2 linked regions of the Neurospora crassa OR74A genome follow. The protein of the gene in region 1 purifies or fractionates together with the protein of each later gene. This does not show direct contact. Links are inferred from orthologs where the notes say so. Each region holds a gene or a part of one and is shown on either strand. Other genes may lie near its edges.

The links.
Region 2: the proteins of NCU06086 (region 1) and NCU01440 purify together in Saccharomyces cerevisiae (affinity purification with mass spectrometry; 3 studies listed by BioGRID). This does not show direct contact. The link is inferred for Neurospora crassa OR74A from reciprocal best matches to the Saccharomyces cerevisiae genes MAM33 and MYO2.

What each region holds. Positions count from the first base shown.
Region 1 is NC_026507.1:1,859,836-1,863,159, reverse strand, and holds NCU06086 (regulatory protein suaprga1), read right to left. Parts: upstream 2,070-3,324; 5' UTR 1,867-2,069; coding exon 1,517-1,866; intron 1,457-1,516; coding exon 982-1,456; 3' UTR 764-981; downstream 1-763. Other genes in the region: NCU06085 (LCCL domain-containing protein), read right to left, coding at 1-246; NCU17215 (hypothetical protein), read right to left, coding at 2,688-3,314. UniProt on the Saccharomyces cerevisiae protein: Not known. Binds to the sorting sequence of cytochrome b2.
Region 2 is NC_026505.1:4,738,403-4,742,868, forward strand, and holds the start of NCU01440 (myosin-2), read right to left. Parts: upstream 2,904-4,466; 5' UTR 1,948-2,903; coding exon 1,813-1,947; intron 1,701-1,812; coding exon 1,568-1,700; intron 1,481-1,567; coding exon 1,291-1,480; intron 1,230-1,290; coding exon 1-1,229. UniProt on the Saccharomyces cerevisiae protein: Myosin heavy chain that is required for the cell cycle-regulated transport of various organelles and proteins for their segregation.

The sequences.
Region 1 (3,324 bases):
AGATCTCGAGTGTTTGGTCGTCAAGAAAGGTGGCGATGATGTGTCGGTGTTGTCGTCGAATTCGAATTGCTCAATGTAGTCTTCTGTCGATAGCAGTTGGGCTTCTTCGTCTTCTGATGGTTGGTGGTCGTCGTTGGCTTGGGTCCGGGAGGAACTCGAGACAGGTAGGGGGGGATGATAGTCGTCATCGTCGTCTGTTTGGTGTACGCCGCTGTACTGGGCCTGGTGTGCGTGTTTCAGATCCATGTTGTAGTCATATCAACGGTGCTATTTAGAGGCGTTTGTAAAGGTTAGGTATTGAGTAGCGGGTTCTGACTGCGTGTCTGCAGTTTGATGGTGTTCTGAGGCAAGATGTTCACCACAATGCGAATATTGAGTTGCAGTGACTGCGTGAATTAAGGACAAAATGTACGAATGAAATGAATGTAACCGGAATCCTCGGAAACGAACGCAAAAATTGATTAGAAAGATGTCATATCACAAGCACATTCTGACAAAGTATAATGTTTCTGCAACGGAAAAAAGGTAAGACGGAGAAAGGAGATGGACAAAGTTGAAGTTCGATTCAGCTGGGCTAAAAGATCAGTGACCCCAGTTCAACCAATGGCATGACCGCTGGCTTCCAAGGCGAGCAAGGGTAGCATGGCATAGAACGAGAATGGGCAAGATTTGCCATACCACCTCATGACTTGGACCCTTTGCGGTCATATCTCTGGTGCTGTATCAACTTAAAAACTGTCTTGTCCACTTGGACGTTGGTCCTATTACAGCATCTTCATCCTTACACAACCCGTTCCCATCGGCTTCTGTTGCATTATACAAATTTTGGTATGGAGTCGTGATATCAAACGTGGGATATAATTACAGGTACATGTCATACATCAGCTGCGGAATCAAAAAGCCGTCCCGCAGCCTCGAATCCTCTCGCCTTTTCCTTGTTGGATTTTCCATTCCTCGTGACAGTATCTCATCTCTCCCCATTTATTGGGCATCGACGAAGCCCTTGAGGTTGTTGAGCCACCTGAGGTACTCCTTCTGCTCCTTCATGTCAAGGTAGTCGGGAACGAAGAGGGCAAGGGCCTGGTTGATGCCACGGTCCTCGAGGTAGCGCTCCATGAGGACCTGGAGATCCTCGTCGAGGGTACCGAAGGGAGGGCCAGGGTAGACAGCCTGGGCAGCGTGCTGGGTCTCGGCGCTCTCACCGTGAGCGAGCTTGGCGTCGTGGTAGTAGAACATGTTGTCGACAACAATGGAGCCGTCCTGGGCAACGGCGTCGATGTTGAGGGCACCCTTGCTGGGCTTCTCAATGACGATGTTGAGACGGACGGGAGCGCCGCCGTCCTCACCCATGTCCTCCTCGTTCTGGGCACCCTCCTCGTCACCGAGAGCCGTGTCCTCGTCGAACATGCCAGGCTCGTAGTTCTGGAGGTCGGCGATGGAAAAGGAGATGGTGATCCTGGCGTACCTTGGTCAGCGCATGGTTCTTGATCGAAGTCATGTTGGGGGTTCAACTTACTGCTCGTTGCCAAAGGTGCGCTTCAGGACAACGTCCTCCTTGCCGGGGGTATCGACAAGCTCAAAGGGGCCGTTCTCAAGGAAATCCTTGACGGTGGCGGGAACGGGCTCGTTGGAGGCAATGTCCTGCTCATAGCCAATCTCGGTGGAGAGCTTCTCGGAGAGCTCAGAGTCGATCTCGGTGGCGGCAGCGCGGAAGACGGTGGTCGAGAAAGCCTTCTGGGGGAGCTGGGTCCTGAGAACGTTGCTGGTAGCGCGGACGGTGGCGCGGCCGAGGGTGATGGGAGAAGCAGAGACGGCACGGAGAGCACGGGGCGCAGTGGTGCGCGCGACAGCACGAAGAGACATCATCTTGACGGATTTGGTGGGGGGTAGTTTGTTGACTGTAGATTGGAAATTCGGGTCCGATCGTGTTGTTGCGCGTTGGGACAGAGGAGTGTTGTCGAGGACGGAAGCTGGGGTAAGTGAGTGGACGAAGACTGGAGCGAGACGAAAAGATGGGTAACGTGAGTGATGGAGAAATTCGATGACAATCCACGATGGATGGTTTTGATCATTGGATCCGCTCGCTGAAAGCTCCACGAACCTGTGCCGAGAGCAGCTGAGTGGTCCCGTCTCCAGAAATCTTCAAAAGCTCTGCAGTAGCTAGCGCAAAAAAATGCCGAGCACAGACCATCCAATGAGGCCCCGGCTGCGGGGACAAGAGGCAAGAACCCCATCGATAAAGCGTAGCGCCAGCCGATAAGCTCCCACCTAGCGGAAGTTCCCCCACAATGACGCTTTGGACCCACTAAAATTTTGTCAGTCTTCAGTTGAGGTTCAGGTGCGCGTAACAACGGGCGGCCTACCTCCAGCTCCATCTTCGACTACTCACATCGCGCCCAGAGGATAATTGTTCATCAATAGCTTATTTTAGTCGACTATATACGGAACTGATGGTCTGCTTTTACGATTTGTTTCCTCAACGCCATACCACTTAACACCTTTATAAGTTCTAGCTATTCTACCAACAAGTAAAGGGTCCAGCATTCTTCTGTTCCAGGGTCCAGATCGGCTCGACTGGATCCACACTTAACAAACATGGCTGCCAGGAACCGAGTGCCTTGGATGCCTCGGATCGATACGACAAATGACATGACCAATGCCAGCAATACCCACGCGAACAATCTGATCTATATGAACCGCCCATCATATCTCCCCAAGTCTGCCCTCATCTTCCCCATCCTCCTCAACCTCCTTTCGAGATCCTGTTGTTGTCCCTGTTGCTGTTGCTCTGATACCGGTAATGCTGCCGGTCCAGGCACGTACTCCCTCCCTTGTCCTTGCAACATCATCAATGTCGTCGTCGTCGTCGTCGTCTGTCCTGATACCGAGATCCGTCTCTGCTGCTGCCCCCTGTCATAAACACCACCACTGCCACCACCCCCTCCAACTCCATGGTGATAGTTGTTATTGTTGTTGTATCCATACATGGAGTTCACACCTTGCGCTCCAATGGGTACACTAACACTAACACTGCTCCCCCTCCTCCTTGGTCCTCCGCCTGTGCTGCCACTCGAGGTGCTACTCCCACTGCCACTACTGCTTCGAGACCGGGATGCCGGGAGGGTTGCTTCGTCCTGGCATTGCCAGCACTTGTACCCCGTCTGATCTCGTTGGCCGGAAACCCCGGATAGGCAGGAGCCAAAGATGCCGCTGCCGCTGTTCCTGGCTACGGAACAGAGTTGTTCTGAAATGAGGACTGTGTCCTCGCTGCTGCACCGGCGGCACACGCGGATGTGGGTCTTGTAGGTGCACATTTGCTTCGTC
Region 2 (4,466 bases), on another chromosome or scaffold:
AACGGGGCTTCTTGTAGAATTTGTGCTTGTCGGCAGCGTAGTTGTGGTGAAGCTTAGTAACGAACTGCTCGTCGGAACCCATGGGTAGTCTTGATTCCTCGTCTAGAAGGGACAGGATACCAAGTTTGCCCTCGATAAGGTCAATGCAGGGCTGGTTGTCAGCAAAGTCGATGAAGGTCCAGTCAATCTGCTCCCTAAGGTATTCCTCCTGCTCCAACTTGAACACATGCTGGTTGAACTCCTGCTGAAGCTTCTCGTTGGCGTAGTTGATACAGAACTGCTCGAAGGAGTTCTTGGCGAAATGCTCGAAGCCGTAAATATCCAGAACACCAATGAAGGAAGTGACTCTGGTGAGGACCTCCTCCGAAGCAAGACTGTGATTGATGATTTCGACGAGCCAGTCGAACAGACTCGAGTAGATGTACTTGGCAACGGAATCTCGGACAACGATAGCCTGCGCCTGGGTCAAGTTGGACACGATCTTTTCACCACGAGTGACCAATTGCTTCTTGACGATCCACTTGGCAAATTCTGGAGCATCGATGCCGAGAATCTCGCAGGCCTTAACCAGCGATGGTTCGGAAGGATCGAGGGAACTGTCGTTTCGCATGGCACCAATCTTGACATTACCCAAGTGGAGGAGACCAGCCAGAAGCTTGAAGATCTCCGTTTGCTTGCCCTCGTCAACACCGATGGTCTTCAAAGATGCCTTGGTCGCATTGAACTCGGCCTTGTCATCGACGCCATCGATCGTGGGGGTGTTACCCTGGTTGAGGTACTCGAACTGTTCAACGGGAAGCAAGCCCAATTCCTGGCGCTCCTTGTCCGTCACACCAGCAACCAGCTGGTAGAAAATATGGTAGTTTCTTTCCTTCAACGGTTGGAAAACCAACCTCGATCGCTCGAGAAGGTAGGTCCTGATCTTGGCACCGATAATGTTGGTGGCCTTGTCAAACATGATTTCGATGTATTTACCGAATCGCGAGGAGTTGTCGTTTCTTGTCGTCTTTGCGTTACCAAAAGCTTCCATAATCGGGTTCGTAGCCAAGATAGCCTCCTCGGTCTGGCTCATAGACTCGTGGCCACCCTTCTTTACTCGTGATCCGGGGCTGTCGGGCGATTCTCTTGTCGCGAAGTATCTCATAATGTACTTGGCACTGACAGTCTTACCGGCACCGGACTCACCAGACACGACAATGGTCTGGTTCTTGCCATCGCGCAACATGTCCCTATTGTTATGTCAGCGATTACAAGTCAACATGAATCGTCAAATTGGCAAAGAGCCCATACATGAACGCTTCCTCAGCAATGGCGAAAAGATGGGGAGCTTGGGTTGCTCTTTGCTTCCCGGCATAGACTTGAACCATGCCTGGGACATAAAGAGAGTCAACCCGCGCGAACGGGTTTGTAGCTATTAGAACAATACCCGAGTATGTGTAGATTTCCTTCTGGGCATATCGAAGGCGGATAGCCTGAAGCACTAAGCACAGCACATGCTATCAGCATCACGTTCTCGGAGTGCGCCCGATGGCGGGGCGAGTCAGCGCAAAGGTGTGTGTATATTTACCAGCAGGCTCGTTCAGATGTGATAGGTTCGTCAAGTCATCACTGGCTTCGAGCATTGTTGGGTTCATCAAGGGCGGTAGCGACTCATGGCCGCCTGACTGGAGGGCCTCGAGGGAGACCTCCACGGTCTTAGTCTGCAGGCAGTAACACATGTTAGCATCTTGAAGCGCACCAGCCCGCAAAGCACGTAAACCAAAGCACAAAAGTCGGAATATGCCGAGACTTGGGAAAGCATAAGCTACCTACCTCGCCATTCTCGCACTCGAAGATAAGAGTGACCTTGTTGCCGTCTACTGTCTTCTTGACTACTTCAGAGGCAACCCAACCCTCGGTAGGATCGGGCTGCCAGGCTCGAGTGCCAACATCATAGCTCTCCGACATTGGATGCGCTTGTATCGGTGTATTCTCGAGGGAGAGAAAATCGGCGCGAACCTGCGAGTCAGGAGCAAGGGGGAAGAGATGTTGTGGTGGGATTTGGATGGCTTCAAGAAGCCAGTTCTAGCGGCGGAACGGCCAGCACGGCTAGGGGCGACGGGGGTGGATAGGGATAATGGTGGACCGTGTCTGTTATGGCGGACGCAACGACCGGAATGAAGAGCGGTCCAGGATGCTAGTTCGGTCGCGGAAGCTTGGAATCCAAGGGCCGGCGGGAGTGTGGTGCTGGCGAAGACAACATTCACGAAGGGAATGGAAGAGGGGGAAATTAGATACAAAAATAGGGATTGGACGTGGAGCAACACATTAAAGAAGTATAGAAAGATGTTGCTATCGTGCGGGCAACGGAGCCCAAGCCGACAAACAAGGTGGTCGAAGACGATGTAGGTCTAGGAGTTCGAAAGGGGGTTCGGCTCGTGTCGTCGGACCGATGGGAGTGTAGCGCGGGCTGTTCTTGGACGAAACAGCTGAAAGATGTTGTTGTTGCTTTTGTTGTTTGCTTTGCGTGCCCAAGGGAGCTAGCTGGTAGGTGTTTGGCTGACCGGGAATAGGTCAGGTCCTGTCACTGTGTGTAGGACAGGAAGGTTGTGGAATGCCGTATAAACGGGGCGGGCAGAACGGGCGGAGCGGGGACCCAACACACTGCCTTGCGGTGGGAGAACGGATTCGTCGAGCGGTCGAGTCGGGTTCTCTTAACGGTGGCAGCCTCTCTGTATAGAAGTGGCTGATGGTCGAGATAGCACCTGTGGATGAGGGAACGTCCTTGATGTAGTAGCCTGTCGGGCCGGTGTGGTCAACAACCAAGTCAAAAGTCGGGGTAGGCGAGAAGGCGGGACGACGAGACGGGATGTCGTTGAAAGTTTAGGGGTAGGCTTCCGCTTGTAGTGTAGCTGAGGTGCCCGGTGATGATAGAGCACTGGCGGGCCGTCGTGGTGGCAGGCTAACAGCCCGGCCGACGTTCACTTCCGTTGACAGGGGCCCCGTTGTTGTGGATGTTGAGGTGGTCGGTCTTTGGCGGCCACCGCCCAATTGGGTGCGTCGCTGGGCTCGTTGCATTAACACCGAAGCACGGACTCTTTCGTGGGCTTGGGGAGCTGGACTCCATGGAGCCCCTCCAATGAGCCGTAATTCCCAAATGACCTGGACAAGCAGGGCTCTCCTTAAAAGGGGGCACTAACCAACACTGCGAAGAAGATTACATACCTAGAGGTATGCTTGGGAATCCCGCGACTCTACATAAGTGGAAAGCTACATAGTACACAGACAAGGCGAAGAAGAACAATGGGTGACTGGCACCTCTAAGCAGCGTATAAGGGTTACCTTTGTCTTGTCCGGAGAGGTGTCCAGTGGAAGACGACATGATGTACAAGATGGGTCACGATGTCCAAGTCTACACTCTACCTTGAGATGTACAAATGTGTCTCTGGAGGCTCACGCCAATGGGTGAATAACCGTCAGGATATCCTATGAGGACGACCATGTTTCTCCTCCTGATCTATAGCCCTCTTGATTTGTATGGCTTCATCGTTCTCATTATGTACGGTCTTTGGTCTTCCCCTGAGTTTCTGTATTTCTCCCCGACAGCTCACCGGCGCCCCTCATCAGGGTAGCATTTCGTTTACACAACTCCCTGAAGGAACTCACGGAAGTAAGGCCCAATCTTACCAGACTCCCATGGCCAATTGTTTGCACTGGTCCGTTCGTTCGTTCATTTGTTCGTTCGATATGCCATCCAACTGGGTCCCCGTCTGGCCCGTCTGCCCGCTTGTTGACAGTTGAAATGCATTAACCTGTCCGCCTGAAAAGGAGAGAGATGGGCAAACTCAAAATGGGGCATAGTGTAAATACGTACCAATACCTCTATGGCATTGATGGGTGGACCGGGCTGAGTCTGGCACCATGACAATCAATTGCATTTGCGTTCAGTTCCTTCTTCTCTTCTTTCTGGAATCTGCAGGGGTAAAAAGAGCGCCAGCGAATGGCGGGTCGTCAAAGACTGTGGAAACTGTTGGAGACTACCTACTTACGGGCCCCACCAGGCCCCCCGTGCGGCCGGCAGCCCGAGTATCGGGGCCTGGGACTTGGGAGGAAAAAAAAAGGGGAGGGGGGGGGGGGGGGGGGGGGAGAAAGGCGGTGCTTTTGGTGGTTTGCCGCCGACTCCGCGTCGTCGCCGCCTTTTGTCTGCTCCGTGGCCGGATTGACGACGAGTGACTACTGTTACAATTCAGAGTCAACACCGTCCCTCACTCGGACGTCATCCACCGGTGTGTTGGGAATGAGTCTGTTTCGGTGATAATGACACCCATGACGGTGACTGACATGATGCCGGCCCGATGCTGTTCTGCTTCGTGAGCAAACCGTTCTGTTTAATAATTCCATCCGCTGGTTAGTAAGGCAATTGAGATCTCGCTTGATATCAATTATCAGTTGTAGCTCTGAAAGGTTGAAGCACTTATCATTAACCC